4 linked regions of the Rhinolophus ferrumequinum genome follow. The protein of the gene in region 2 purifies or fractionates together with the protein of the main gene of each other region. This does not show direct contact. Links are inferred from orthologs where the notes say so. Each region holds a gene or a part of one and is shown on either strand. Other genes may lie near its edges.

Region 1 (7,860 bases), on a different chromosome or scaffold from region 2:
TTCCCCCCAAATGTACCATTTGCATCAGCTACAATTGTTTCCCATCTTGAAAAAAATAAACGACACCTTGACCCCGCATTTCCCTCCATCTTCAGCTCCCTGTCTCTGTTCCCATTTTATTTCTTGAAAGAGTTGTAGTATTTCTACTTCTCCTATTCTCTCTAGAAGCCTCTCCAATCACTTCACTTCCCTTGTCAAGATCCCCAATGATCACCTTGTTGCCAAATTCACTGGTTATCTCAGTCCTCATTTTATGCAACCTATATAGCAATACCTGACAATTGATTACTCTCTCCGTCTTGACAAATTTTCATTACTTGGCTTTCAGAACATTATTCTCTGGTTTCTGTTTTCACTGCTCATTCCTTTTCAATCTCCTTTGCAAGTTGCTCTTTATCTCAGTCCTTGGACCTCTTTTCTATCTATACTCACTTACTTCCTGGGCAACCTCATCCATCTCACAGCTTTGAAGGTCATCCATATACAGATAATAAATTGATGTTTCCTACTGATACCTCTCTCATGAACTTCGGACTCACATAGCTGATGCCATTTATGTGTCTGGTTTCCCAGCCTCGAGATGTCCATAATTGAAATCCTGATTCCTACTCATTTCTCACAAGACTGCTCTTCCCTCTTTCCTCCCCTGGTCCATCTGGGAAAATGGCAACTCCATTCTTCTAGTTCATGCAGTCTCAATGGGGCCAATATCACTCCATAGGGGAAAAATAATTGGTTCTTGGGGGATAAAAAGAAAAATCTTAGGCATTACAATGCTTTGTCACCCTCCAAAGCTCAACTCTACCCAACAAAATCTTATTCCTTAATTTCTCTCATTTTTCGGGGTATGACACAAGCAGCAGTGACACTGAACTCACAGATGATACACAAAATGTATGCAAGGCCAGTGCTACAAAACTATAAGAAATAGGTAGCTGTGATTGGAGAACTTTCTCTCCCTCATTTGCCCTACTTTGAAGTCATAACACAGGAAGTGGCCTACACATGACTATTGGCTGTCATTTACTACCTTGTGAATGTTATGATTCTCAGTGCTTTGCATCTGACTTGGGCTTTGAGAAGCAAATAAAAATAGCTTATATTTTATTATTTAATTCTACAAGTTACTCAATTAATCTTTAGCTATATCAAATGCCGAGAAGAAAAAATGTCAACAATAGCTAAATAAATATCTAGCAGCTAGTAATTTTCTCATGCCAAATAAAAGTTAAAAGTTCACTAAAATTTTAATATATTTTCAATTGTTTTACTTTTTCTGGAAAATAAGTTTTTTAAATTAAATGTATTGAGATGACATTAGTTAATAACATTATATGTTTCAAGTGTACAATTCTATAATATAGTATGTTGTACTGTGTGCTCACCACCCAAAGTCTAGTCTCCTTCCATTACCACATATTTGACCCCCTTTACCTTCATCATCCTCCTTCCACCTCCCCTCTGGTAACCACCATACTGTTGTCTGTGTCTGAGTTTTTGTGTGTGGGTTTGTTGCTTTCAATTTTTTATCCCATATGTGAGTAAAATCGTATGGTTCTTGTCCTTTTCCGTCTGACTTTTTTCCCCCTTAGCATGATATTCTCAAGATCCATCCATGTTGTGGCAAATGGCAGTATTTCATCCTTTCTTATGGCTGAGTAGTATTCCCTTAAACATATGTACCACATCTTCCTTATCCAATCATTCATTGTAGAAAACTTAGGTTGTTTCCATGTCTTGGCTATTGTGACTAATATTGCAATGAACATAGGGGTACATATATCTCTATGAATAAATGTTTTCAAAATTTTGGGTTAGATGCCCAGAAGAGGAATTGCTAGGTCATCTGGTAGCGCTATTCTTAATTTTTTGAGGAACCTCCATACTGTTTTCCATAGTGGCTGTACCAGTTTAAATTCCCCTGCGGTGTAGGTGGGTTCTTTTTTCTCCACATCCTCTCCAACACTTGTTATTTCTTGTCTTATTGATAATAGCCATTCTAACAGGTGTGAGATGGTGTCTCCTTGTGGTTTTGATTTGCATTTCCTGAAGAGCTAGTGAAGTTGAGCATCTTTTCACGTATCTGTTGGCCATTTATATGTCTTCTTTGAAGAAGTGTCTGTTTAGGTCCTCTGTGCATTTTTCTTTTAAACAGGACTTTATTGGGGAACAGTGTGTTCCAGGACTTCCAGGACTTTTTCTAAGTCAAGTTGTTGTCCTTTCAATCTTAGTTGTGGAGGGCGCAGCTCAGCTCCAGGTCTAGTTGCCGTTGTTAGTTGCAGGGGGTACAGCCCACCATCCCTTGCGGGAGTCGAAGAATTGAACTGGCAACCTTGTGGTTGAGAGCCCACTGGCCCATGTGGGAATCGAACCGGCAGCCTTCGGCGTTAGCAGAATGGAGCTCCAACTGCCTGAGCCACCGGGCTGGCCCCCGTCTGTGCATTTTTTAATTGGATTGTTTATTTGTTGTTGTTGCTGTTGTGGAAATATAATAGTTTTGAATAATTTTTTAAAAAATGATTACATTGCTGTTATATGTTTATGTAAGTTGTAATTTGCATATGTAAGAAATTACAATTTATGTAAGGAAAGTTTACTCAGCAAATACAGTTATAAAGTTGTTAAATATTAATAGTTTTAACATTTAAAATATTTAACTTAAAGATTTTAGTCATTCTTAACTGCATTGAATATAAAGAGTAAGGTCTGGGTGGCCAGTTAGCTCAGTTGGTTAGAGCACGGTGCTAGTAGCACCAAGGTTGCCGGTTCGATCCCCGCATGGGCCACTCTGAGCTGTGCCCTCCTTTAAAAAAAAAAAAAAAAGAGTAAACTTCATGTTTACTCTTGCAGAAAGCACAGCTATACACATTGTATTATACATATACAGATACACAGCATATCTGTAGCATTAAAATTTCACAGAGGTTGAGGGGATTAGGAAAAAATATCTAAAATGAATCTTTAGGGACAATGATAAGGAAAAAAAGGCTTTGAGAATTGCTCAGGTCAAAAGCCTTGGTGTCAGACTTGTTTCTCCCACACTCCCCTTAAATCCATGAACATGCTTTTAGGCTCTTCCCTCAAAATAGATCCAGGATCTGACACCACTTCTCATTATCTTTTTTGCACTCTGGTACAGATCACCATCATTTCCTTGCCTGGATTATTCCAACAGCCTCCTTAACTGGTGGCTCCGAAGTCTATTTTCAACATAGCAACCAATGTGATCATTTAAAAAGATTGCCATGTAACTTCTCTGCTTAAAAGGACTTCCCATCTCATTTCAAAGCCAACATCCTTACAGTGGCTTTGGAAGGTTCCACACGAACTCTCTCCCTTCACTTCTCAGACCTCATACTGTACCACTTGTCCCCTCTCTTACTCTTCTCCAGCCACACTGGCCTCCTTGTTCTTCCTTTAATATGTCAAGACATTCTGTTTTAAGAGCCTCTGCACTTGCCGTTCCTTCTGCCAGCATGTTCTCCTCCTCCTCTCCGGTATCTGCTTGGTTACCTTGTTCTCGACATTCAGATTGACAAGGAGAAAATTCTGAGAAGTCCTAAATTAAATTATAGCAGGCCAGAGAGTGGAAGGAAGAGACAAAAAGGGGTTAATCAGGTAACCACGGCAGTGCAAAACCAACAAAAGACTGCTTACACTGCCTTAGTGTGTTTTGGAATTATTAAATTAACTTCCAGGTGGCCATTTCCAGATTATCTAAAAAAAAAGAGAATAGCTAGGCTGCTACTGAACCCCAGGGGTCTCTGTTTCTTGTTTATGCATGAGTTTTATGGACTCTCTTGGGCCTATCCCCTTTGTCTATAGCTAATGTAAATTCTTTCAGAATGGCTTATAAATTTCTCCTCCCTACTCCATGTGTAAAAATGCCTGCAAAACTCAGGGACTTGGACATGTTATCCTTCCTACCTAGCTATGTTGCTGGTGGTTTAGACTCCACGCCCCAAAACCTGTCTTCTTTTTTCACCAGCAATGGGCTAATAAACTCTTTCTTTTAAAAAGGCTTTCAGCCATGAAGTTCAAAATTTTTTGTTTAACAAGATAAAGTGTCACTTCCTTCCAAAAGCCCTTCCGATTCATTAAACCACCATTCCCATGCCCATCTAGGATCACCCACACGATACCGCCCATCTCCCTTACTCTGCTTCATACTTCTTAATAGAACTTACTACTCCCTGACATGTATTTGGTTATGGTCTCCTGACACTAAGCCCTAGAGGGAAGGAATTTTTGTCCGTTTTCCTGTTACTCTATCCAACAGGTAGAACAGTGAGTGCTTGGTTCAACACGTTCAACAACTTTTTGTTGAATTAATACTAGATATGAGCTCGAAAAAACAGATTCTCTGCCTCAAGAAAAGTGAGTCTACTGGGGTGACATAAAAGAATTGAAATATAATAATTACATGTGTTCAGTTGGACACGGAAGCCTCCAAATCTGCCCAGAGGATTTACCTAGACAGATGTGATAGAATGATGCTAATCAATATTACTTAAGGCTCTTGTAAATTATAATGTATTGTACAATTCTGAGATTGTGCCGAAGGTGAGACCATATCCTGTCTTTTATCTTTTACTCGTCTCCAAAATTTTACGGGGAAATTTTCGTTTCACTTAATTTACTTCCTCTTCATATAATCCAAATAGTCAAGCGGCTATGAATGGTATGGTCCAAGGGGACTGTGAAATGTTGCTTCGTCTGGGAGTCTGCGTAGTGAATGGCTCGCTGGAGCTGGCGCATGCGCACCTGTCAGAGGCACTGCAAGATGGCTGCCAGCCACTTGGTCGAGCGTCGGTGCCCCGAGGAGTCAGCAGCGGCGGCGGCGGCGGCAGCCGCCAGAAAGTAATAGTGGCCGCTGAGCGGTGGGAGTTTCCCGGCCTTGTTATGTGATCTGGATAGCCCCAAGTGAGAGACCTCGCTGGGAAGCAAAAGGCGGGGCGGCGGTGTAACCCCCTCCCCCAACCTCTCCTTAGTTTGACCAGTCCCCTTACCCTCCCCTCCCCGCTTTTCCTCCCAGTCCGCTACACGCGGAGGTGCTGCGCAGGCGCACAAGTAATTGAAGCGCCTCCTCGGCTCTAGGGGTTTGCGGGCTCCTGCGCGCGCTTCTCCTTCTTCTCCCTTGATTGGTCAGATTGCCCCGCCATGACACCTCCCCCTGCTCTCTAGGTTGAGAAGGAAACGGGGGGCGGGGCCAAGCGGCGCGTGCGCGATACTGTTGCTGTTCCTTTGCTGCTATTGCGTTGCAAAAAAAAAAATCCTGACTAGGTAGCCTTGGGCCTTTTCTGTACTAGAGGATCTAAAGGAGAGAAAAAGATTTCTGCAATCGAAGGGGCACTCGGGTAGTATTAAATTTAAGATATTCACAGCCGCCCTAACAGGAGTGTGGGGATAGGAGTGGGAAAGGGCCTTAGCGTAAAGAGCGCAAGAGTATAAAACCATTAGTTTGGGGCCAGCCGTTTTGAAAGGCTTTGCAAGGACCTGTTTTCTGCGTAATTCTTGCCTGATTACTGACTAGTTTACACACAACCCCTTGAACCATTCTGATAAACCTTCGAAACCCGCAGCCCCTCCTTGCAGCGTGCTGGAGCCGCCAGCGTGCCTAGCAGCTGGCCTGCCGATCCTACCTCCAGAAGAGCCTAGCGCGTGCACCACCCCCACCCCCCGGCCTCCTTCCCCACCTACGGCTTTCACGCACTCGCAGTGATTGTTTTGCCCGCTCCCGCCGCCGCCGCCGCTGGCGCCGCTGCCGCCGCCGCCGCCGCCGCCGCCGCCGCCGCCGCCGCCAGAGGAGCAGCAGCGCTTGTGCAAACCGGGAAGATGGCGGCCGGCGGCGGCGGAGGCAGCAGTAAGGCCTCCTCCTCGTCGGCCTCTTCGGCAGGGGCTCTGGAGTCCTCGTTGGATCGAAAATTCCAGTCGGTAACTAACACCATGGAATCTATTCAAGGCCTGTCGTCTTGGTGTATAGAGAACAAGAAACACCACACTACTATCGTCTACCATTGGATGAAGTGGCTCCGGAGATGTGAGTGTTGGGGGTGCCTAGGGGAAGGGAAGACCGGGGAAATGGAAGGAAATACCGCCCGAATCGCTTGAGGTTTTCCCATGGAGCCACTGCATTTGGCTGGGGTTGTTCACAGTAAAGCTTTGACCCGAGTGTTCCCAGACCCAGACTCCTCCATTCCTAGCCAGGGTTTTCCTGAATTGCGGGAAGCTTAGCATTTCGTGGATATGTAGCCACTGACTTGGTGTGACCTTGGGCCGTTGGCCCCAGATCTATAGCGATTTACACATTATGTCTTTTCAAAGCCTCGTAAGGTACCGTTGACTTTACTGAACCTTCACGGAAATTGTCGCGTCCGTTCGTTTCTTCTATAGGCCGTGAGGTGTTAATGATTTCTGGTTTTCCTGATGCTAGACAAGCTCTGATCTAAGCACCACTAGTAAATCCAACTATTTCGCTGGAATATGTTGGACCACTCTGTTTTCTACTGACCTGAAACTTGGGATGTGTAATAAGAAGGGTTTATCTGGGTGAATGTTAAACAACGTGTGCTCCACATAGAGCTGAGGCGACCACCTGGGAGGTTTCCCTGTTACCTGTGTTTGCTGCAATGAAATACAGGCTTCTTGATAATGACCGGAAACTACTGTATGTAGTCAAGTATTGTCAATAATACCTTAAAATGAAAAAAAAACCCACATCCGACTACTTTTTAATCACTTGAAATACCTTTTTAAGGAATTGAGTTTGGTTTCATAGGTAATAATCAAAACAGGAAATCAAGAAATGAGCTTTTTGAATATATAGTACGCCCCCTCCCCCCAGTTATTACTTTTTTGCCTTCGTGGGGCAGTTTTTCCACTTTGCTGCTTTACTACAGAAAAGAGGTCTAGTAAACTGTCAGGAAACGTGGATGGTGTGCCAAAGATCTCAAATCTTCTAGGAGGAAGTGTGGAGAATTCACTGTTGCTTCCTGCTGAGAAGAGAGGGTTAACTTTCTTCTCAGGGATTTTTGAATTTTAGGTCTTTTGTTGCTTCTGTATTTGAATTTTAGCTCTTTTGCTCCCTGACCATGGCTTGTCATCAGTGATACCCGTCATCCAGTTGTTCTTATTCCACTTCTGCCATGGCCTCTGAAGTGTTTTGATTTGTGTTTACCTTTTAGGGAACAGATGGATAAAACTTGCAAAATCATAGGCCCCAAGCTTTCAACCATTTGTATATGTAAAGTTATTGTTGGGAGAGATGTTTTGTGGCTCTTTGAATAATAAATGCTCAAAGGGTTGTAGAACCAAGACGGATTACCTTTATTTACCAATAGCAGATCAAAGTTACTTTCTTTTCAAGAGGTAAAATTAGAATATATAAAATCAAGTATGATAACAGTCCTCAAAGACCCTTACATATTAAGTACCTGCTATGTACCCAGCCCTTTACTGTCATTTATAATATATCTCCTATCTGAAAATAACCCTCAGAAATAGATTTTTAAATCATTGGTATAGAGATGGGGAAACTAAGGCTCGGGATATTACCTAAATTGCTTAAGATTACACAGTAAAGTGGTGGAGTTAGGATTTGGCTTCACCATATCAGATGATATCAGATGACAGTGGCCACATTTAACTTTGTAAAAGAACGTTCTCAAGATTACTCCTTTAATGCGCTTGGTCCACCAGTGGGAGCAAGCAGTGTTCATGTGAGCCTGAGGACATGTTTTCCTTAAACATAGTCTCCTTCCTGTTTTAAAACATTTTTTACTAAATTATGCGAGCATTTAACATTTTCTACCTTTGGGCTCTGGTGCTTTACCTGTATGGTTACATCATTTGCAAGAATAC
Region 2 (7,407 bases):
AGACCTGGAAACTAAGCAACACATTTCTAAATAATACATAGATCAAAGAGGACATCTCAAGGGAAATTTACACAAAAACATGGAAATCAATGAAAATAAAAATACAACATAAAATTTGTGGGACACAGCTACAGCCATGCTGAGAGGGAAATTTATAAACATACATATATTAGAAAAGAGGAAAGGTCTCAAATCAATAACCTAAGCTCCCACCTCAAGAACCTAAAAAAGACAAGCAAGATAAAACCAAAGAAAGCAGAAGGAAGGATATAATAAAGAACAGAGCACAGATCAATGAAATTGAGAACAGAAAACAACAGATAAAAATCAATGAAAAAGAACTAGTTCTTTGAAAAGATCAATAAAATTGTCAAACTTCTGGCAAGACTGATTTTGTGTGTGTGTGTGTGTGTGTGTGTGTGTGTGCGTGAGAGAGAGAGAGAGAGAGAGAGAGAAAGGGAAAGAGAAAAATTAGCAATATTAATACTGAAATGAGACAGCACTACAGACCCTGTAGACATCAAAGGATAATACAGGAATACTACAAATAACTTTGACAACTTAGATGAAATGGTGACTTCCTAAAAAACACAAACTACTATAACTCATATAAAATTAAATAGATCATTTGAATAGCCTTATAACTTTTAAGAAAATTGAATTGTCATTTAAGTACTCAAAAGAAAGGAAGGAAGGAAGGAAGGAAGGAAGGAAGGAAGGAAGGAAGGAAGGAAGGAAGAAAAGAAAGGAAAAAGGAAAGGAAAAAGTAAAAAAGGAAAAGAAGAAAGGTAGAAAGGAAGGGAGGGAGGAAGGGAAAGAGAGAGGGAAGGAAGGAAAGAAATCTCCAAGCCCAGATAGTTTCACTGGGATATTCTACCAACCATTTAAAGAAGAATTAACACTAATTTTACACAATCTTTTAGGAAAAGAAGAGGAGGAAATACTTTCCAATCCATTTTATGAAGCTAGCATCACCCTGATATCACCAAAACACAACAAAGACAATACAAAAATTAAAAAAAGACTGCAGACCAATTTCCCTCATGAATATAGAGATGCAAAGACCCTAAAAATATTAGGAAATACGAGGTCTGACAATAAAGTCCGCAAATTCATTCTAGAAAAAGTGCTACATCCCTCATTGCTAAATATCACTATGGTCACCTTTGAAGTACTCTTCTTGGGAAGCTATGTACTGATGCTAGTGCCTAGTTCACCCTTCCAAACAATTTTGGAAATCTTTTTCTGGAATGGCCATCAGAGCTGTCGTATTACCCTTGATGTCCTGCATGTCATCAAAATGTCTTCCTTTCAATATTTCTTTTATCTTCAGGTCAAGAAAGAAGTCATTGGGGACCAGATCAGGTGAGTAGGGAGGGTGTTCCAATAGAGTTATTTGTTTACTGGCTAAAAACTCCCTCACAGACAGTGCCGTGTGAGCTGGTGCATTGTCGTGATGCAAGAGCTCCTTCGGGACTATATTTGCACACACCTTTCTCATGCCAAGATTTTCAGTTAAGATTTTCCTAACTGTTTCTCTATTGATGCATAGCTCCCCAAGGGGAGTACTTTGAAGGTGACCGTAGTGATATTCAGCAACGAGGTATGTAGCACTTTTTCTAGGATGAGGTCGCGAACTTAATTGTCATACCTCGTATAATTCAGTAGCATGTAAATAGAATTATACACCATGACAAAACTCAACCAAAACTCAACAAAGACAATACAAAAATTAAAAAAAAAACTGTAGGGTTTATTCTAGGGATGAAAGCATGGCTCAATATTTGAAAATCAATCAGTGTAATTAATATTAACAAGCTAAAGAAGAAAAATCACATGATGATATCATCCTCACATTCATACCTCTAGATCCTGAAGTATCCTAGGACTCAGTCACTGGACCCCTTTTCTTTCCACACTTATTCTCTTTTATGACTCACACATTTATACCTCCAGTCCAGATCTCTCCCTTGAACTCGAGACTCACAGATCCAATTACCTATGAGACATCTCTGTTTGGATAGGCATTTCCAACCGGACATGTACAAATCTAAACTCCTGCTCTTACTCCCCAAACCAGCTCGTTCCTCAGTTCGGTAAATGGAAGAATCCATTCTTACGGTTGCTTAGGCTACCGCATAAACCCGTCTTTCTTTTACATCTCATATCTAATCGGTCACCTCTTCTTCTAAAATATCCCCAGAATCTGACCCTTTCTCACCACCTCCACCCTGGTCTGAGTTATCCTTTCATCTGGGTTATTACAATAGCTGCCAAACTGGTCTTCCTGCTTCTTACACCCTATTTTCTCCTTAACAGCCACAATGCTCCTCCTTCACTCAAAACCATTTATTAGACTGTCATTTCACTGAGTAATATCCAAAGTCCTTACGATTGCCCACTATGTGATGTGATCCCTGGCGACTTCTCTGAGCTCATTTCTAGCTTTCTGGTTCCTATCACTCTAGCCTTACTGCCCTCCTTGCAGTTCCTCAGACAGGGCCCTTCTAACCCCAGGACATTGTACTTGGTTTTCCCTCTGCCTGGAACCACATCCCACTACAGAGCACATGGCTTGTTCTCTCTGTTCTTTCAGGGCTCTGATCAAGTGTCACCATATCAGTGAGGCTTTCTCTGACCAGCATATATAATAGATTCCTATCTGCCCACACATACATTCCTCACCCCTCTTTACCCTCCTTGATTTGTATTTAAGGCACTCATTTTTCTGACTCATTTTATACTCGCATGTTTATCTATCTTCCCCTGTAGAAGGTAAGCTTCCGAGAACTGGATTCTGACTGTTTGCCTAGAATAGTGCTTCAAAGATGCTCAAAATTATTTGCTGAGTGAATGAATGAACCACTGGTTTGGGAATGAAACATTTGAGATCACACGTCAGATAACCTTGATTTGACTCCTGCTCTGTCATTTCCTATGTCCAAGTGACATTGGACACACTCACCCATGCTTTATGTCTCCTCATTGGTCAAATAGTGATAATCCTCACCTCGTAGCACTGTTGTAATGATTAAATAAAAGAAGGTATGGAATGTGCTTAATACACCGTGACTTGCTATAAAAATGCTCAGTATATGACAGTGTTACCTAATACACAAAGATCGCCTAGCCTTTGACTCAAAGGCCTTAGGTTATAATTACAACTAGATGTGACTGTGTGATTTTAAGCTATTCACCTCTTTTATGTTAATTCACTCAATCAGCTATGAATCAGGTGCTGAGGTAAAAAAGAGAAGATGCAGGTCCTTCCCTCTAATCTTAGCTATGTGCCCTCTCTGAGTTTCTTCATTTGCCAAACAGGAATAATGTAATACCTACCTCATAGATTTGTGGTAAGGATGAAATGCGTTACTATGTGAAAATACAGTGTCCAGTTCACAGCAACTGCTCACTATGCTGGCTCTGATTATGATTCTACTCTGGGGGAGAAACAGAAGCATCTAAACAAAGAACTACAATACAGCGCAGTAAGAGACTCTGGAACCTGTCCACAACTGCTAAGTTCCATGACGATTAGGAAATTTTAAAATTCCATTACGTCTACAATAACCTAACTCCCTACCACCACGCCAATAGCAGAAGGACAAAGTTCCCTGCTGATTTGATAACTGGAATTTTAAACTTTTTAAAAATAGGAAAGGGGTTCAGTCTCAAACAGTGTGTTTTAAAGGTCAATGTTCCCTTTGCCTCCACCCCCCGAAAAGTTAACATTACTTAAACGTGAGACACAGTCAAATGGACCCCCGGAGGGCAGCACGTACTTCTGGGAATAAAGGAAACAATTAAGAGCCAAGAGGAGAAAAGTGTATCCTATGGCGCTGCTGCCACAGTGCAAATGTCAGAACTGGACATTAAAGGGTGGCCCTGGAGCCGAGTGGGAGCCCATCAGGTGAGAAGGGGGCGTCACCTTTGGAGAAGGAACAGCGAGAGCCAAGGCGTGGAGGCGTGAAAAGTGCACGTGGGTGGCTTGGCAGAACCAAAAAGAAGCTTTGGGGGGAGGGAGGCCAGGGAGCAGGGCACGTATGGAGGAAGAGTGCGGCCGGGGGGTTTGCCAGTCGAGGGAGAAAGCCGCCTCTCATACCTACGTCACGATCACTCAGCCTCACTGTCCCCTCAGGATCCCCCTCCACAGGCTGCCAGTTGCCGGGCTCCCTCTTGCTCCCGCCACTCTTCCCTTACCTTGTCTTCCAGCCTCTCCCTCACTCTCCCGCCTCCTCCTCCCCGCCGGTAGTGACGCGCTAAGGAGTGCGCCGCAGAGCGCCACACAGGTTCCCCGGGAGCGGGAGAAAGGGTCCGGGGAGACTCACTGCGCCGGCGTGCGGGCGCGAGCGGTCGAAGCGCCTTCCGGAGGCCGCCGAACTGCGTTTCTTTCCCCATCTGTAGCTTTCAGAGTGCCCCGAGCGAGCTTCAGAGAGGCCGCCGCCACTGCAGGCGCGTTTTCCTGCAGCTCTGACACCTCCCGGTGTCCAGCGACTCCGGCCCTTGCCCTTTAACCCTGCCTTCGCGGTGGGGTGAGAGGTCGGTGGCCATCTTGTGGCGGCGGCGCGGGCGGCTGTTACTGCGGAGACCCATCCCCCCACCCCCTGGCCCGCCTAGCCGTCTGTCAGTCAGTAAAGAGTCCCCCAGGCGGTCAGGTGAGGCCCCGGCCTCGTGCCGTCGCTCTTCCCGCCGCACTGGGCGGCCCAGGCCGCTCCCTGCCGGGCCTCACCGCCGCCACCATGTCCTCCTTCTCGGAGTCGGCGCTGGAGAAGAAGCTCTCGGAGTTGAGCAACTCTCAGCAGAGCGTGCAGACCCTGTCCCTGTGGCTCATCCACCACCGCAAGCACGCGGGACCCATCGTCTCGGTGTGGCACCGCGAGCTCCGCAAAGGTAAACACCCCCCCCCCCACCTCGTGCCCCCCCCCCCCCGGGTTGTCCTCTCTCCCACCCACTGCTGAGGCCCCTCTAGCTTCTTCCTTGAGCCTTGCTTTCCAGGTCCGGGCCTCTGATTGCGCTTCTGAGGTTGGAGACAGTGTTATCCCCATTTCTCGGAGAAGGAAACTGAGGCCCAGGTAGATTGAAGGTGCTTGTCTGAGGTTCCACCGACCGGGGCTCTAGTGCCCAGACTCCCTCTTCACCCAGCCGTTTTCCCCTCGGGCTCCTCCTGACACTTGTGATTATTACTATCTCTGCAGTGTTACGGGCCTCGTGGAGGGGACTGGCCCTAGCCAGTTGTGTGCCAGGCACGTTGCTGGGCATTTGGAGTAAGAGCCAGCAGACCCTGGAGTAAGACTGCCTAGATCGAGCCTTGGCACAGCCACTTCCTAGCTGAGCGAATACTGGGAGAGTTTCTTCATCTCAACGCTTCTGTTTTCTCATCTGTAAAACGAGGATGAGGGTAGCTGCCACTTACATAGAGAGCCCTTATTCTGTGCCAGTCACGATTCCAAGACCTTTGCATACATCCTGGCACTCAGTTCTCAGAACAGCCCTATGAAGTGGGTAGTTACTTCCTGTCCATAGAGAGGTTAAGGGGCCACACTACCTAAGCTTCTCTTCTCATGCAACTTGCATTGCTTGTAGACCCTGCTCAGGATCTGGCATTCCGTTGAGCTCAGCCCATTGTGTGCCAGGCACTGGGTTGGGTGATTGAAAGCATGTTGGCTCCAGAGACGAACTGTCTGGGATTTAAGCCTGACTGACATTTACTGATCCCAGCAGCTTAACCTCTTTGCCCCTCAGTTTTCTTCTCTATAAAATGGAGATGACGTTAACCGATTGACCGAGCCTTTATTATGTGCCACGTGCAGTACTTATATCTTTACATACATTGTCATTTTTTAAATTCTCAGAGCCCTGTGAGGTAGAAACTTGCAGATGAGGAAAATCAGAGGCTCAGACAACTTGTGGTGAGGAGTAAACAGGATAATCCAAATGAAGGTCTGGCATGGTGTCTGGATCAGTGCAGATATTCGAGAAATAACATCGAGATAAGATTATTGATTATTCAATGTGAGGCACGGTCTTTGCCTTCAAGTAGCTTGGAGTCTGGTGGGGAAAGATGGTCACCAGCTATGCGATACTCTGGTGAGTTCCATAGCAGAAAGCTATGGAAATGAAGCTTAGAGCTGTTTTGGACAGCCTATAAGTGGTAGGGTCTTTATAGCGTAGGAAGCACCTTTACATGTGTTCTCTACTATCTATAAGGTGGGAATTCTACCCTGTGTTACAGATGAGGAAACTGAAGTGGCTAAGTGGTATTTTTAAGGCATTGGAATTGGTGAGGTTACGACTACATCAGGCTGGCAGACACCAAAATCCAGGATTCTTTCAGGAGACCCAGTGCTAGCCCTTTAGCAGAGAACCTTCCCCCCACCCCCATCATGTGCTTTACTGAGATAGGAGTCCCGTCAGCCCTCTGGGCAGTTGGGGGATAGAGCCTGGAGCTCCCAGGCTCTATCCCCACTGTGTACACCACTGTGCCATTCAACTATTTCCAAAATCTGAGATGTGAAAAAAAGGAATCGCCTCTGCAGGATTCTATCCGGTAGGATCTCAGAGACAGGGCAGACTCCATCTCAAATGTTACTACTAGTTGATTCCCCTCCTCACCCTGCTTGAGTTGTTGAAAAACACAATTTAGAGGGTGTAGTCATCATGAAGCTCCTTGAACCCTAACTTCATATGATGGAACCTTATGTTGTAAGTGGAGTAGCCTGGCATTCTTACCCCCGTTTTATAGATGAGAAGATAAAGATACAGAGAGATTAAGTGCTTTGTTCAGGGGCATACAGCTGGGACATGATCCCAGAGCTCTCTGACACCAAAACATGTGCTTTCAAGTACGCAGTGCCTCGTTGCACTTAATACGTGAAGGAGGTCATAACCTTCCCCAAACCTGGAGTGCTTTTGTTAGAATTAATCACTGCCTCCCGCCCCACCCCACACCAGTTGAGCATCTATGGTTGGTCCTCTCTATCCCTGAATTCAACCCGGGGGGTGGGGGGGGTTGAAAATGTTCTAGAGAAAAAATTATACTGTTGCCGACATGTACTTAGTTAGGCCTAGGATGGTTGCCTCTGTACTGAACAACATGCACAGACTTTTTTTTCCTTGTTGTTATTCCCTAAACAATACAGTATAACAATTTACATAGTATTTACATTTTATTAGGTATTATAAGTAATCTAGAGATGATTTAAAGTATACGGAAGGATGTGCTTAGGTTATATGCAGATACTATACCATTTTATTAAGGGGGCTTGAGCATCTGTGGATTTTGGTACTTGAGCAGCAGGTTGGGAGAGTGGGGGTGGGGAGGGGTTGTCCTGGAACCAATCCCTCTTGGATACCAAGGGCCTACTGTAGTTCATCCTTCTAGTTATGTCTTTTTCACTAGATTGTGTT
Region 3 (7,427 bases), on a different chromosome or scaffold from region 2:
AAGATTCTGTCTTCTAAACTGAGAGGAGGGGGCCTCAGCTACGTAGTCTCTACCAAAGATCAGTACATGTGATCTTTCGAGGACTTTTTTGTTCTGGTTTGTGAGTTTATTCATAGGAAAAGTCATAAAAAGATGTTATTCAATCACAATAATATTCATTAAATTTGCTAATTAAAAAGTAAAATTAAATGAAATAAAAAAATATCAAACATTTAATAATGTTTTTTTCCTAAATGATCTCCCACACTATCAAAAAGATCATAAAACACTGTGGTGGCCTGATAAAAGAGATTTGTCACCAAACAACACTCAACCATGTGAAAGACTGAAAAGAAAAAAATTCTTTCAATTTGAACCTTATTTGGCTGGGATTTTTCTCACCAGAGTCTTCCTATTTTTTTTCCATGGGCAACTGCCCTCTTGATTAATCCCATTTCCCTCAGTCTTAGTTTTTCCAAGCAGCTGAGCAAACAAAGATGCAGGCGGCCATTTTAACGTGCTTCCTCTCTCCAGCCCTCTGGGATGGGCCGGCTGTTCATCCTGTTCATAAACCAACAGCCTGAATGTGCTTGGAGAAAGCAGCAAGGATCTTCTGTCAGGATTAATTTTAATAGGCCACAGTCTGTCACCTGGGAACCATAGCTCTGGCAAATGGCTTTAAATTACTATTTGCTGATAAAGAGTGAGATATGAGCTGAAAATTTGGTCCCTCATTTTAAACAGTTTGGATAACTAATGCAAGAATTTACTTTCAGTGTAGAGTACATGTTCTTTACAGCCTGAATCCTTGAGTAGCTGAGGAAAACCTTTTGTTGCAGTGGGGTCACAGTGAAATACAAAGAGGGGAAATGTGACATTTTATAGAAGTGTAGAATTTTAGAGCTGGGAGGGAAATGAAGAATTTGTGAATTCCTCAGCACAAAGCTTCCTCCGAAGCTTTCTGTTTCTGATTTCTGTGTAGAGAAATGTTATCCCTCTTACTATCCCTTCCATTTTTTTGTCTTCCTCTTCACCAATTCCTTTCTCTCTCCTTTTTCTTTTTTTCACTTTGTTGATCTCATATCCAGTTCCAACTCCCTGTTACCTTCCTTACTTTCTCTTCCCTAACTTGCCAGGCTCCTGTCAGTTATTTGTGAAGTTCTGCACTGATGGACAGAAAAGGCAGCAGGGTGAAGTAGGGCTAGTCCCCTCTGTGAAGTAGGGATAGTCCCCAGTGCTCTGTTCATCTGAGAAAGCAGTGAGTGAAAGGAGTGACTGGAAGAGGAGGTTTGGTAAATGGTACACAGATGTCAGCCATTATTGTTTAATAAAGTCTTAGGCTACCATTCTTTATTAAGTTTCCAGTAGCTATGGCTGCTATGGTTTGTTTGAAAGTTCAGCATGTTCCATTCCCAAAAGGATGTTTAAAAAACACACCAAAGAAAATAGAATTTTCTTCGAATTTGTTTATGACCCTTGGTTCCCATCTCTTCTCCATGTGGCCAGCAGACCAAAAGGTAGCCTTCCCTCTCCTCAGTCGGCTCTATCACCTTGAAGTCCAGACATCAATCAAGCCTTGATTTTCCTAACACATTAGTGCTATTGGACTCTCTTATTAGTCAGGGTTCTTCAAAGAAAAAGATCCAATAGGATGTGTCTATGTGTGTGTGTGTATAATCATATGAGCCAATTTCTTAAAATACATTTCATTTTAAGGACTTGGTTCATGTGATTATCAATGCAGGATAGACCAGCAGGCAGGAAATCCAGGGGAGAACCACTGTTGCAGTGCAAGTATGAAGGCTGTCTGCTGGCAGAATTCCTTCTGTTCGTGGGAGGTCAGTCTTTGTTGTAGTAAAGGCTTAATTGATAGGAAGAGGTCCACCTACATTATGGCAGGTAATCTACTTTACTGAAAGTCCACTGATTTGAATGCAAATCTCATCCAAAAAATACTTTCACAGAAACACCTAGAATGTTTGGCCAAATATCTGGGCACTGTGACCTAGGCAAGTTGACATGTAAGATTAACCATCACAGACTCCTTTGCTGATAATCATTGTTCCTAATGAACCTGTCTGGTTCTGATATCTGCCTATCCTCTCTTTTAAATTCTCTTTTGGGATGAACCTCCCACTAACCATTATTCTGCTGCCAAGTTCCGCTACTTGGCAGGAATCAGGCTAAATTTTTCATTTACACTTGCCTCACATGTCACAGCTAATATGACCACACACCACTGCCACCCTGGGCATTTCTAATCAGAGAGCCCGGGCATGCTTCTGCCTGGCCCCCTGTGGTACTCCCTTCCTACCCTCCAATGATCCCTACATGGTGGCAAGACCACCTCTGAATGCTGAGAGGCCCAACAAATGTGGAATCGAACACTTCCAGTCTTTACTACATTGATATTGGTGTTTCCCACATCAGTATTCCAAGTGAGGAAAGCAAAATTAGATATTTTTAAGGGCAGCTTAGGCTACAGGCAGGAAGATCTTTTAGGAGCTATTATAGTAGTTCACTCAAGGGCTTGGACAAAGACAATGGAGGCAACAATGGGTGTATGGGGAAGTGCTGAAAGGGTGGCAAGAGGGAGAGTGTACAGAAAAGAAGGTACTTGGGCTGTAGGATTTCGTAATCAGTTAGGTGGAGGGAAAAAGAATAGTCAGGTATGAATATCTAGTTTCTTGTTTGGACAACTATGTGGATGGTCTTGCCATTAAACAGTGAGAATTTTAAAAACAAAGAGTGGGTTAGGGGAGGAAATTTTTAGTTTCGAACAAGTTGAAGCTGAGAAATCTTAGGGATATCCAGGTGGTAAGGTCCTTACCCTGACTCTAGTTCTAGCCCCAGAACAAATACTCCAGATTTGAAACTCCTGGAAAGATTGGTAACATGGAATTCATGGTATGAGTGACTTTTGAGAAAATGGTCAACAGGATCAGATGCAGCAAGGAGAAAGACTAAAATCTGTCCCTTGGGTTTGGCAACCAGGAGAGGGTTCATGGCACTGGTGAGAGTGGTGAAGATCTGCCGGAGAGTAAGTCTTTCAGGAAGCTAATCTCTGAAGAGAGGGGCACTTTTTACATCTTTATTGGGGGGTATAACTGACATGCTATAGACATTGGACATATTTTAAATATACAATGCAATAAGTTGTGACTAGCTAAGTCCAAGGCCTTATTCAAGTATTTATTTAGCTAGGGCTGGAGCAGGCTATTGAAGTCCTTGAAAGCAGGGTTTAAGTTGAGAATTTTTATACATTAGTTAATCTCATCAGAATGGACAAGATTGGGAGGACACAGAAATGGCTTCAGCCATGCTCCCTGAAGTAGCTTCAGATTTTTTTCTAGAGCTTCTCTAGTTAGGAGGGATTGCTTTTGTCTATTATAGCACCTTACATTGAATTTAGAAAATTAAAGTTTCCATATCAAAGAATGGGGAGGCAGTGTTGGAAGTTATGGGGGCATTCATACCTCCCAATTGATATCTACTGTGTCTCTTTCATGCTTCTTCCTTTTTCCTTTGGGACCCAACTCTGGTAGCTGAACTATAAAGAATAGGTTAGAGCTGGGTGCGATGCTTATTACGCTGCCTTCCTCTTCTCAACAGCCTTAAAAAAAACTTTTCAACAATTTTAAACACTTGGAAATAGGCATACAGTGAAAACGGAGACTTACAAATTGGTGTCCTAAAAAGAGCAGGTGGGCATTTGAATTTGAACTCTAGTGTTTTCACTTAACTAGTTTTGTGCGCCGGGAATATTTACTTCAGTTTCTGTGCCTTTGTTTTTCTATAGGCAAAATCTGAAATTGTGAAAGAGAGGTTCTCAAGCCAGACATCAACTATCTTGCAATGCCTGAGGCAGTACTGCCCATGATTAAAGTCCAGCTCCAAATGCCAGAGCCCCATGAAGGAACGCTGATGGTCCCTAAGGGTCCTTTCAACTTTAACTTTTGAAAACATCGCAGCCTTGGGTTAAGGAGGCGCCACATCATAGACCAGGGCCTCCCAAGCCTCGTCCTGCACGTTACCCCAGCCTCTCACCAAAGGCTAACTCGTCACTCAGGTTTCGACCTACATTTCACTTCTTAGAAACACCTTCTTTGGTCCTCACACCAATCTTACTATTAATATTGTTTTATTATTACTTGATTAATGTCTGCCCCCTCCACCAATCGGTAAACTCCGTAATAGCAGGGGCTGTGGCGATTTGTTGAGGTCACGGTGGCACTCAGTAAATACTTTTTAAATCAACAAATGAGGGGATGAACAGAGAAACGACAAACGGCGCGAACGCACGCCCCACCGGGGCGTGACGTCACCCGCCGTAACTTCCGCTCCTCCGGGCGCCCCCTTCTCCTTGTCCGTGTTTATTTCCGGCGTTTCAATAAAGCTCGATTCGGCTCGAAGAAGACCTGTCCTTCCGGGAAAATGGCGGCTCCCGCTCGTGCTCCGCAGTCCCCGCCGGCCGCAGATCCGGTGCTAGCGGCGGGAGCTGCCGAGGAAGCCGAGTGCCCGCCGCCTCGCCAGCCTCAGCCCCCGCAGAATGTCCTCGCAGCGCCGCGGCTTCGAGCCCCAAGCTCCCGAGGGCTTGGGGCAGCGGAGTTTGGCGGAGCTGCGGGAGATGTTGAAGCGCCAGGAGAGACTTTTGCGCAACGAGTAAGCTGGGGTCCCGCCGAGTCACCGCCAGGCTCCTCCGGTTCAGGTTCCCAGGGACGCACCTCCCCCCGCCCCCCACCCCGTTCCCTTCCCCGGAAGGTGACCTTGTCTCAGACAGCTCCGTTCCAGCCCCGCGGGCGAGCGGACGGCCTGCAGCCGCCAAGCCGTGCGCGTTCTGGCCTGGCGCGGCCCGCCTGTGGGGGCGGCTCGCTGCGGAACGGCGCTTCAGGGTATCAGCTCTTCTTTAGCTCCTCGTTGGTGTATTGACTCAGCTACCGAGTCGGTTCCCTGAAGGGCGGGTCTGTACCTCGATCCTTTTGTTCCCCACCCCCGCCCCCATAGCGTGCCCAAAACAGCCTGTCAGTTTCATCCCTAGGGACTATTTTTATAGGAACCGTTGGAAATGGAAAGAGTGGGATTGAGGAGTGGTTTATTAGGCAGAAAAAGTTGAACTTTCATTCGTTGGCAGACAATGCGCTTTAGCAGGGAAACGATATGATGAAAGTGATTTATTTTAGGAAGCCTAATTTAGCAGCTTGGTGCAAGATGCTTTGAAGGAGTAAGAGGCAGAAGACAGTAGGAAGATATTTTCAAAGAGTTTGCCAACAAGGAGTTTGTAAGAAAGTGAACTATAAAAGTAGTTGAGGAGTTGGGGAACTTCATCAGACTTGGAATAATTTGAATAGGTTGTTGACAGGTGGCTGAGGATTGCGGCCTGTATGGAGAACTATTAACCACAGGAAAATTGGGGGAGGGGAATAGATTCCAGGTTGACTTGACTTAGGGCGTGCTGAGTTGAAGGGAGAGTTAATTATATCTAGTTAAAAGCTGGAGAAATGGTCATGAGGCTCGAGAGAGGAGAAAGCTTGGAAAATAGAGGAATCTCAACTGGAGGGGATGTTATCAATTGAAACTGTGGGAATGAAAGTAGTTTCCGAGGAAGAATAGAGGGCCTGACATGTAACCTTCCCTCCCCATTGTATGGCTAAAGACAGGGGAATCAGAAAAGGAACTCTGTCCCTCAGCAAATAGGACACATGATCGTTTGGGGGCTTCCTAGTACAAGCAAATATTTTGACTTTGTGAGAATGGATTTTTAATTTGTAACAGCGAATTAACTTGGTGTCAGGACTCCTTTCTATGCGTAAGTCTTATTGAGTATTCTAAAGAATTCTTGTTTTATGTGTGTTATATCTGTGGACATTTGTCAATGTATTAGGAATTACAAGTGAGAAATCGTAAGCACAAGAAAACACAAGTTCATACATTCTGTTAGCCAGCAGAGCAATGGTAATCACATGTCCTGTGGCCTCAGGAAAACTCCACTCACCCATGTGAAAAAAGGAGAGTGAAAATTGGTAAATAGTGTCTTAGTATTACTACGAAAATACTTTTGACCTTATAGACCCATTCACCTCCTCTCCCCAGGAAGGCCTTAGAGATCATACGTTAAAAACTGGTGACTTCTGGGATGTCTCACATGAGTATTATATGCTTAAAATACTTTTGCTGAAATTCTAATTAGAGGAGACAAATGAGGCACATTCCCTATTCTTCCTTGATCTGCTTGTTTTTTGGGGGCGGGTATTTGGATAATGACTGTCTTATTTCATTCATGTTTCGGGGCAGTTGGAAATCAGATTTTTGACTTACAGATTGATTTTTCTCCCTTTGAAGATAGTGCTTTGTCATTATATCTCAAGTTTAAAAACATGGCTCTAATGTATATGTGTTTTTTTTCCATTTGACAGAAAATTCATTTGCAAATTGCCCGACAAAGGTAAAAAGATCTTAGACTCTGTTGCCAAACTGAAAGCTGCCATTGCAGAACGTGAAGAAGTTATGGAAAAAAGTGAACTGTTTCATCCTGTTAGTTTAGACTGTAAACTAAGGCAAAAAGCAATTGCCATTGTTGAGATGGACACGGATAAATTCCAGAATTCTGACAAGATACTTGATACTTCATCACGAGTTCCTGGCTGTTCCTCTGTAGATAACATCACATCATCTGAAACAACCTCACAACAACAAGGACTTGTATCTTCTACCCAGAAAGGCGATGAAGAGGCCCCAGAGTTGGGGTACACGGTGAACAAGCGCCCAGCCCCCAGCAACAGAGCCCATGCACCTTCCTTATCCGAAGCTAGTGGTCATCTCCCTCAGCATCGAGTGTCAAGTCGAGCAGAAGATAATTCTAGCAGCTCTGACAGCTCGTTTATTGATAGGTTACAAAGGATCACAATTACAGACCGAGGTGAACACCACTCAGAAGAAAACGGGAGTACTGAGAACTTGACAGGCCTTTGTAGTGAGATGCAGAAGAAGCCTCATTACATGGAAGTGCTAGATATGCGAGCCAAATACCCAGTGCCCTCGCCACATAAATTTAAAACCAATGTGTAAGTACCATCAAAAACAGGCCAGTCACAGGAACATACTATTTGTTAAACTCAAAAAATTGGGAGAATGCTTTAAGTTCAGTGGACTTTGTGTGAGAACTACTTGTAGTGGGGAATGAGCATATGTGGAAAACAGTGAGACCAGCCTGACTGGAGTGGAGGATTCATGTTGAAAAATACTTTAATATTTAGCCAAATAATTGAAAAGGTTTTAAATAGCAAGTGGAGTATTAAATTTCAGGACACTTAGTCAGTATTTCATAATAAACACAGAGAATTTACTGTGACTCCTTTTTTCCCAGAATCATTTTCAGGTATGCAGTTCCCCCTTTGATTAGACTGTCAGCTAAGGAAAAAGGAATTGTAGGAGCTGGTAGACTTTCGCAG
Region 4 (7,308 bases), on a different chromosome or scaffold from region 2:
AGAACTCATCAGCATATGGCTACAGGTATACGTGCTGTCAGGGTTAGATGATAATTTTGGACATAAACTACCAACTGGTTAAACATAGACTGGTAATAACGGTGGGTGTGTGTGTGAGAGGAATGGTTTCGAAAAATTACAGTTCTAGAGATGAACATTCCATATTATTACCTATTTAATACCATCTGTGTTAAACAGCATGAAATACAGCTGTGTTTTGGGGTATTTTTGGTGGTGGTGGTGGTGGTGGTGGTGGTGGCAGTGCACTGGAACAATTCGCCATGTTAACCACTCCTACTACCTGAAAGGTGAACTAAGCCATAGAGTTCGGTGGTGCTGATTCTTGGGGTGTGGGTGTAAAGCTGCTTCCAGGTGAACCTGGAGTCTGTTACCTTGGCTTGAATATCTGGCTTTTAAATACTATTCACTGAGCTGGTTGAAGGACTTGACTCTAAACCAATACTGTACAAAGAAGCCAGAGTAGCATCTTGAAGAAGGTAATGCAAACCCTGTCCCTTCGAGCCTTTTCTTAATGCTAAATGAAACTGACAAGGATTCTTCCTGCTGCTTACTTGCTCTTTGTAGTAGGTTCTGTATGCTACAGCAAACTGAAAACCCCTTCGATTCCAAAACTTAACCATCAGTGGAGGAAGCAACGGAGAGAGTCCCAGTCAGTCACTCAAGTTCCTGCTGCCACTCAGACCCCAACCCCAGTATGGCCATTCTTATTTGGTCCCCAAACAAATAAGCAACCCAAAGTGCTGACATTGGGACTTTCACAGGCTGGTAGTCTGACAGGCTTTAGCTTGAATCTTGGTCCTGCCATTTAAGAACCAGACAAGTAATACTCTGAGCTGAATTTCCTGCTTTGCGACAGGACTGAATTTCCAAGGTAGCCTGTCAAAAACACTTTGCTGAGGCCCCAGCACATGCAGCAGTGGCAGGATGGCTGTGACTATTTGGAGTAGCATCCAGTGCTGGCGGAAGATGGGAAAACGGCCCATGTGAACCCTTCAGAACCCTACGCTACTCTGGACACAAAAAGGAGGCAGCATAATTGGTGTGCTCAGCCCCCCGACTCGACGGGCTTCCTGAGAGAGGTGGGTGCTGAAGTAAGCGCAGCTTGACCTGAGAAAAGGGTTTCTCAGAGTCAAACCACAGCCACATGGAGTGGATGAGCCCTCTCAGGTCTCACTGCCCTGTCACATTGCCAGGCAGATAGGACTTAGAACCCAAGTCCGGACTCCCAGGACAGCCTCTGGAAGTTGTCCCTGGAAGTGAAGGGCGGTTTGCAGAGTCACACAACCCTCCCCGCCCCCCATATACCTCATTCCTTTGATCTCGAGAGACTATTAATAGCAAAAGGGAGGTTACATGTTTATCCTTTTGGCTTCCTTTGTAGCGCTTACCAGCAGACTTCCAGCAGCAGGTGCCAAAGATTTTTTTAATTTATGAGAGAAGAGCTTAAATTTGGGAGATTCTGTACATTAACCTTGAGTACATGGAGAACTGGGAAACATCTATTTTAGAGGCAAAACACCTGGGTGTAGGCAGAAAACATGAGTGATTCAGTCCACAAGGGATTCTTTGAGAAGCATTCTAAAAGGTTATAAAAGGTGTAAACTATTCACTTGATTGAAAAAAATGATATAGCAACATTAATGAAAACGGTTATAGCAAACATTGTTCTGGGTTTGTGTAAGTTCTATATAATTACTGTGACATTTAAGGAAGTTGAAATATGAATTTACCTTGAAGAGTGAATATTCTGTGTATGTACCTGGCAAGTTCGTTCATGTTACCCCTCTCCCTTCTCTGACTACATGTTAAGGAGCAGTTTCCAGGCCAGTCCCTGCTCCCCAGATCCTCCTGTGGTTCACCTACTCCCAACCAGAAGTGACCTCTTTCTCTCCGTAGTCTTCTACAGCACTTTCTTTGACTTTCTCATACCACCCGCCATTTCTTTTATTATGGAAAATAAGTCAACTGTTCTTGGTGAGCTCCCTGTGGGGACAGATCAATGACTGTCTTTTTAAGCCTAGAGCATTGCACAGAAATGTTTACAATGGTTTCCTGAATGATAATGTTCTGGATAAACAAACCTGAAACATCATGTTTGTATTACTTGTTATTCTCCTCTCTTCTCTTTATCTATAGTCTTCTCTACTGCTGTGTATGCAGAAGACACCAAGTGCTGGGAATCCAGCCAGCTCTTGGGCCAGCACATGGGAAGGTCCAGTAAGTAGTAGGTACTCTGTAAGGGCCTGCTGGATGGATACATGGAAGAAAGAAGCCTACAGAGTTCCAGGCGTATTTCCGACCCCCCCCCCCAGCTGCTGCATGTGCCCAGACACCTCAACAGTACATCTGTCACAGCTCTAATGAACCGTACAGAAAGCACTTTGAAACAGTAACAAGATCTGCTACTACAATATAACTGTCATTCAGGGACTCTGGTCACGCTCCCTGCACAAGAACACAGGATATGGCGAGGCCGAAAAGGAACAACAGAGCCATAGATAGGGGAGTCAGACCACTACATTCTCGATGGCGGCTGGGCTGGAGATATAGAAGCAGGATCCACACAATCTGCCATCTGCCATCCGCTTCTCTGTGAACCAATCCCCCTTGCTAGCCGCAATCCGCCCTTCTCTGCCAACCAACCAACCTGCCCGCGTAGCCACGGAAGTTATACTAGTGGCTAATGGCTAACCTGTAATAGCTGATGGCCAACTAGTCACAGCTGATGGCCATTTACTACCTGAGCCAGTACCTTTCCACGTGAGGCTGAGAGCCTAGAAACTGCTCTCTGGGACTCTGTCCCCACAATAACCTACTGTTATTTTACCTGTGGACCAAAAGGGGGCCGTGTACTGAACCTGACAAGCTCAGGGGAGGCCCGCATATATACATACTCAGAGACCAAAAGTAACCACACAAGATGGCCAGAACATAAAAGTTCCTAAGTAAAAGCAGGTCATGTTGGGTAGGCCCGTCCTAGGCCTATAGGGCCTATAGCTTCCTTGACAAAGGTCAGTCTACCTTTGAAATTGTCTATTGTTTTTGTGCAATCTTATATAACATACCTTTAAAATGTCAGAGTAATTTTCTTTTCCTGTCCCCGCGAAGGCACAACCGCTGGTACCAGAGCACAAGACAACATTATTAAATGGTTGCTCACATACCATCTCTATGTGTTGTAAATGTTAACTATCCTGTGCCCACCAATGTATATAAAGTATGTCCACTCCGTTTTGCTTTTTATCCAATGCCAGAGATTTCTCCGTTTTGCTTTCTCCCACCCCTTATTTGCCATCAATGGATGTCATGTAAACCTTCTTAGGTCTCCTCCTTTGACTCTAATGTATAAAATAAGCTGCAAAACTGCCATTTTCTGGAGCATTTTCTCAATCTGTTGAGATTTTGTTTGCCTGCAATTGTCATCCGTTTGGCTCAAATAAACTCTTATAAGACTTTCTTAGGCTAGGCATTCTTTCGACATACCCAATACATTTCTTCTAGAAATACACATACAAAGCAAATTAATTTTGTAAAAATTATAAAGTAAAGGAATACAAGGTACATATTCTTGTGTGGTTTATTTTTCATTTGAACAGAGCTTACATGATACCTAAACACTGCTCACTACTGAGCGAAGCAATGCACTATAATTATGTCCTTTATTTTACAATCTTTTCTCTGAATTTGAAAACATCATTTTCCATTTGCTTACTTTTCTATGTATAATCCAAGTGCTTCAACAGACATTAAAGGCCTCTCAAAATCACTGTCCACGTGCTCAGAAGTATCAGAATAATCCACTACACGTCAAAATTTAAAATGCGTAAGGCATTGGAAGAAATTCCCCGGTACGTTTTCGAGGTCACCGACCCGGCATCCCTTCAACGGAGAGTTCCTGGGGTCAGCCGGCACATTCCTGTATGTCATCCAGCCCACCCCTCCCCACTGGGAAGCAGGTGTCCTTACCCACATTTCACGGGTGAGAAGCTGAGGCTCAAAACGGTCCCGGGACCCGCTCCAAGACTCGCGGCACAACCCCTCCCCTCGCAGCGTCCTGGCCCCGGCCCGCCACGCCCCCGCCACGCCCCGGACGTGGCTGCACCGGGGTCCCCACGCTTCCGCTTCCGGCGGTGTGGGTGGCGGCGCGTAGCTCGGCGATGGCGGCGGGTGGCAGCGATGCGCTGGCTGGCGACGTCGAGGAGGACGCCTCCCAGCTCATCTTTCCAAAAGGTGAGGCCTGGGGCCGTGCGATTGTCCCGCCGTTCTGCGTGGCCGCCGCGGAACTTGGCGTTGCCCCGAAGCCCGGCGGGTGGCGGCGCGGCGACCAGCAGGGAGGAGGCGCCTGCGGACCTGGAGGGCCCGGGCCGCTGGGCTCGGTGCCGGGAGAAGGGCTCCTGGAGCCTTCGGCGCCACTCGGGGGTGCCCCGGGCGGCTGCGGCTCCTTGTTTCAGTAGTTCGTTTTCTCTGATAGACTGCAAAGTGCCCGAGAGATGCGTCAAAGACAAAGCTGACACTAGTTAAAGCGGTCGGTACGAATTTTAATCAGTAATATGCAGCTGCGACAGGGAGAAGAGTCCAGCTTGGACTGAACTCAACTTCATTTGTGTAGAGGTGACAGCGTTTTACAGGGAGAATGAAAGGATAGGGAGCGGCGGTGAGCGGGGCTTAGAGTCAGGGAAGTGAAAAATTACAGAAAGTGGGAAGGGGGTTGGTCCTTTTGAAACCCATTTGGGTTTGTCAGCTGGAGCTTTGGAAGTTAGATTCCTACCATCCCACTGCCCGCCCTCTGTTGGCTGGAACAAACTAAATTATTTTGGCTGCATTCAGTTTTCACAGGCCGGCGCTTTAAAGGAGTTAAGGTCATTCTAGGGATACAGCCTTGAGCTGTTAGAAATCATATTAATGTTTTAATCAAGCCTTTATGGGCCAAAATTGAGGCCTGGTCGGGAAGAGGGCTCAGAGGAGCCTGGCTAGAAAGCGGTCACGGGGAGAATCTTTGTCAGACCGCAGCAACTAAAGCACATTTTGCTGTCAGGGAGCTTTGTCTGCATTGTGATGTCCCTTATTTGTAATTTAGAAACCCAAAGGAAGGAGAAAACTTCAGATTTTAAACTAATGCATCCTACAGATACTGATTACAAAGTAAATGAGGGAACCTTGACAATATCCTCCTGTTTTAAAAATTATATCCACAATACAATGTGAAATGCAACACCCTTTCACCCATAGGAAACTAAACGGGTTAGTGCTTATCCTTCCAAACGAATTTTTATGCTTATTCATAAATATATGCATATACATATACACTTTTTTCAAAAATGGGATTATGCTATAGAAATCTTACAGCTTTAAAAATTTTTGATGGTATATTGTATAGAAAGGTCCTGTTCTTTTAAAGCTCCAGATACTATTACTTATTAAATATAAATAATAGTATTTATCTATTGATATACATACAGGTTGCTTCCAGTTTTTTATTTCATAGACTCAAGTGCAAATATTTCCATAGGATAGCTTCATGGAAGTTTTTAGCATAATGGAAATACACATTTGTTTCTTTTTTAAGGTATAATAACTAAGAAGGAAATGGTTTTCTTAATTTCATGATAAATTAAACCAGTTTTTTTGTATGTGGGTTTTGTGTAGGTACTTTTTACTTAGTGTTTTTTTTAACCTGGAAAATACTTGTTTAGATAAAATCAGGTAACATCTGGTACTCATGAATATTTTATTGAATTGGGGATAATTAGATCCTATCAGTTAACAATGTGTCAGAGTTCTGAACATCTCTTATCTCTTAACTTCTCAGCTGATACAGCATGTAAAGTTTATGTATTTTAGAATATATGTATATATATAGGAACAACAGTAAGTCCTTAGAGAAAGCCTTTGCTGTAGGATGGAAAGTAAGCAAACGTGTAATTAGTTCAAGGACTAAAAATGGAGACCACCGAAAGCTTCTGAGTACGTTTTTTTTTTAATTTATTGGGGTGACAGTGGTTAGTAAAATTACATGGGTTTCAAGTGTCAATTCTATATTACATCATCTATATATCACATTGTGTGTTCACCACCCAGAGTCAGTTCTCCTTCCATCACCATATATTTGACCCCCTTTGCCCTCATCTATCACCTCTCTTCCCACTTAACCTCGGGTAACCACTAAACTATTGTCTGTGTCTATGAGTTTTTGTTTGTTTGTTTCTCTTGTTCCTTTGTTGCTTTCGGTTTTATATCCCACATATGAGAGACTTTTTCTGTCTGACTTATTTCACTTAGCATGATACGGTAATCTCAGGATCCATCCATGTTGTCACAAACAGCAGTATTTCATCTTTTTTATAGCAGAGTAGTATTCCATTGTGTATATACACGACATCTTCTTTATCTAATCATCTATCGAAGGAACAGGTGACTAGACTCCTGGTGTCCTGAGTTCCATCCCATTATATTTCACAGGTACATTTCTTTAGTGCAGAAGGGGAGACATCTCTAACTTTGATTTTCCAGAAGCCTTAAAAACATCGACAGCTATAATAAACTTGGAGGTAATTATTAGTAGTAACTTGTTTAGCCTCTTAATTTCCATTTTCTAAGGCTGTATTAATGCTGCAGCCTCAGAAGCTGAGACTGACCCACTATTTAGCTGCTGCTGCATTTATCCCCCTTATGTCACTTAACTCTTTTCACTTCAGAGACTTGGGGTCATATGTCCTGATACTTCATTGCTCTAGGGCCGTAGTTTCTTCACCTGTATACCACCTCAGAGGGTTGGGTTGGAATCAACTCTGAGCTTCCTCTCGTTCAAACCATGCTGCCCTGAAGTAGAAAATAGCTTTTGTGTGCCTGTTATATTCAGTAGCAATGAGAACCTTTCAAATAAAAATAGTTTTCTCCTTACATGCTCCTCAACCCCTGCCCCTCCACACACACACCAACAGTTGTGAAGGGAGTGGGACGCCTTTGTGCCCTGGCCCAGGAAATGGAAGGCATTGCTCTCATGTCTGTGATGTCCCCAGTAGGAAACATACGGATATCACATGTAAATGTCAAATAGGATTTTTCTCACTGTTGCTTCCTCTTCATCAGTGTGGGATTATAAACATGAATGCACACTTTTACTCTGGGGGAACTCACTGATAAGGGAACGGCAGATAAAATCCAGCTCTAATACTTGGTGACACATATTAGGAACATATATTCCTATGGGAATGTGAGGGAGATATGATTTTTCCAAAGAGATGATAGCATTTTTAATGATGTTATCCTGAAAATATAGGAAAGGGC

What was found.
Region 1: the proteins of RPRD1B (region 2) and RPRD2 purify together in Homo sapiens (affinity purification with mass spectrometry; 4 studies listed by BioGRID and IntAct, counting the BioPlex papers as one, with this or other methods). This does not show direct contact. The link is inferred for Rhinolophus ferrumequinum from reciprocal best matches to the Homo sapiens genes RPRD1B and RPRD2.
Region 3: the proteins of RPRD1B (region 2) and POLR2M purify together in Homo sapiens (affinity purification with mass spectrometry; 3 studies listed by BioGRID and IntAct, counting the BioPlex papers as one, with this or other methods). This does not show direct contact. The link is inferred for Rhinolophus ferrumequinum from reciprocal best matches to the Homo sapiens genes RPRD1B and POLR2M.
Region 4: the proteins of RPRD1B (region 2) and POLR2D purify together in Homo sapiens (affinity purification with mass spectrometry; 3 studies listed by BioGRID and IntAct, counting the BioPlex papers as one, with this or other methods). This does not show direct contact. The link is inferred for Rhinolophus ferrumequinum from reciprocal best matches to the Homo sapiens genes RPRD1B and POLR2D.

The regions. Positions count from the first base shown.
Region 1 is NC_046305.1:50,691,131-50,698,990, forward strand, and holds the start of RPRD2 (regulation of nuclear pre-mRNA domain-containing protein 2), read left to right. Parts: upstream 1-4,854; 5' UTR 4,855-5,835; coding exon 5,836-6,040; intron 6,041-7,860.
Region 2 is NC_046306.1:18,066,034-18,073,440, reverse strand, and holds the start of RPRD1B (regulation of nuclear pre-mRNA domain-containing protein 1B), read left to right. Parts: upstream 1-4,357; 5' UTR 4,358-4,739; coding exon 4,740-4,890; intron 4,891-7,407. UniProt on the Homo sapiens protein: Interacts with phosphorylated C-terminal heptapeptide repeat domain (CTD) of the largest RNA polymerase II subunit POLR2A, and participates in dephosphorylation of the CTD by RPAP2. Transcriptional regulator which enhances expression of CCND1.
Region 3 is NC_046289.1:51,654,163-51,661,589, reverse strand, and holds the start of POLR2M (protein GRINL1A), read left to right. Parts: upstream 1-4,376; 5' UTR 4,377-4,528; coding exon 4,529-4,641; intron 4,642-6,392; coding exon 6,393-7,040; intron 7,041-7,427.
Region 4 is NW_022680440.1:944,014-951,321, reverse strand, and holds the start of POLR2D (DNA-directed RNA polymerase II subunit RPB4), read left to right. Parts: upstream 1-4,113; 5' UTR 4,114-4,178; coding exon 4,179-4,251; intron 4,252-7,308. UniProt on the Homo sapiens protein: Core component of RNA polymerase II (Pol II), a DNA-dependent RNA polymerase which synthesizes mRNA precursors and many functional non-coding RNAs using the four ribonucleoside triphosphates as substrates.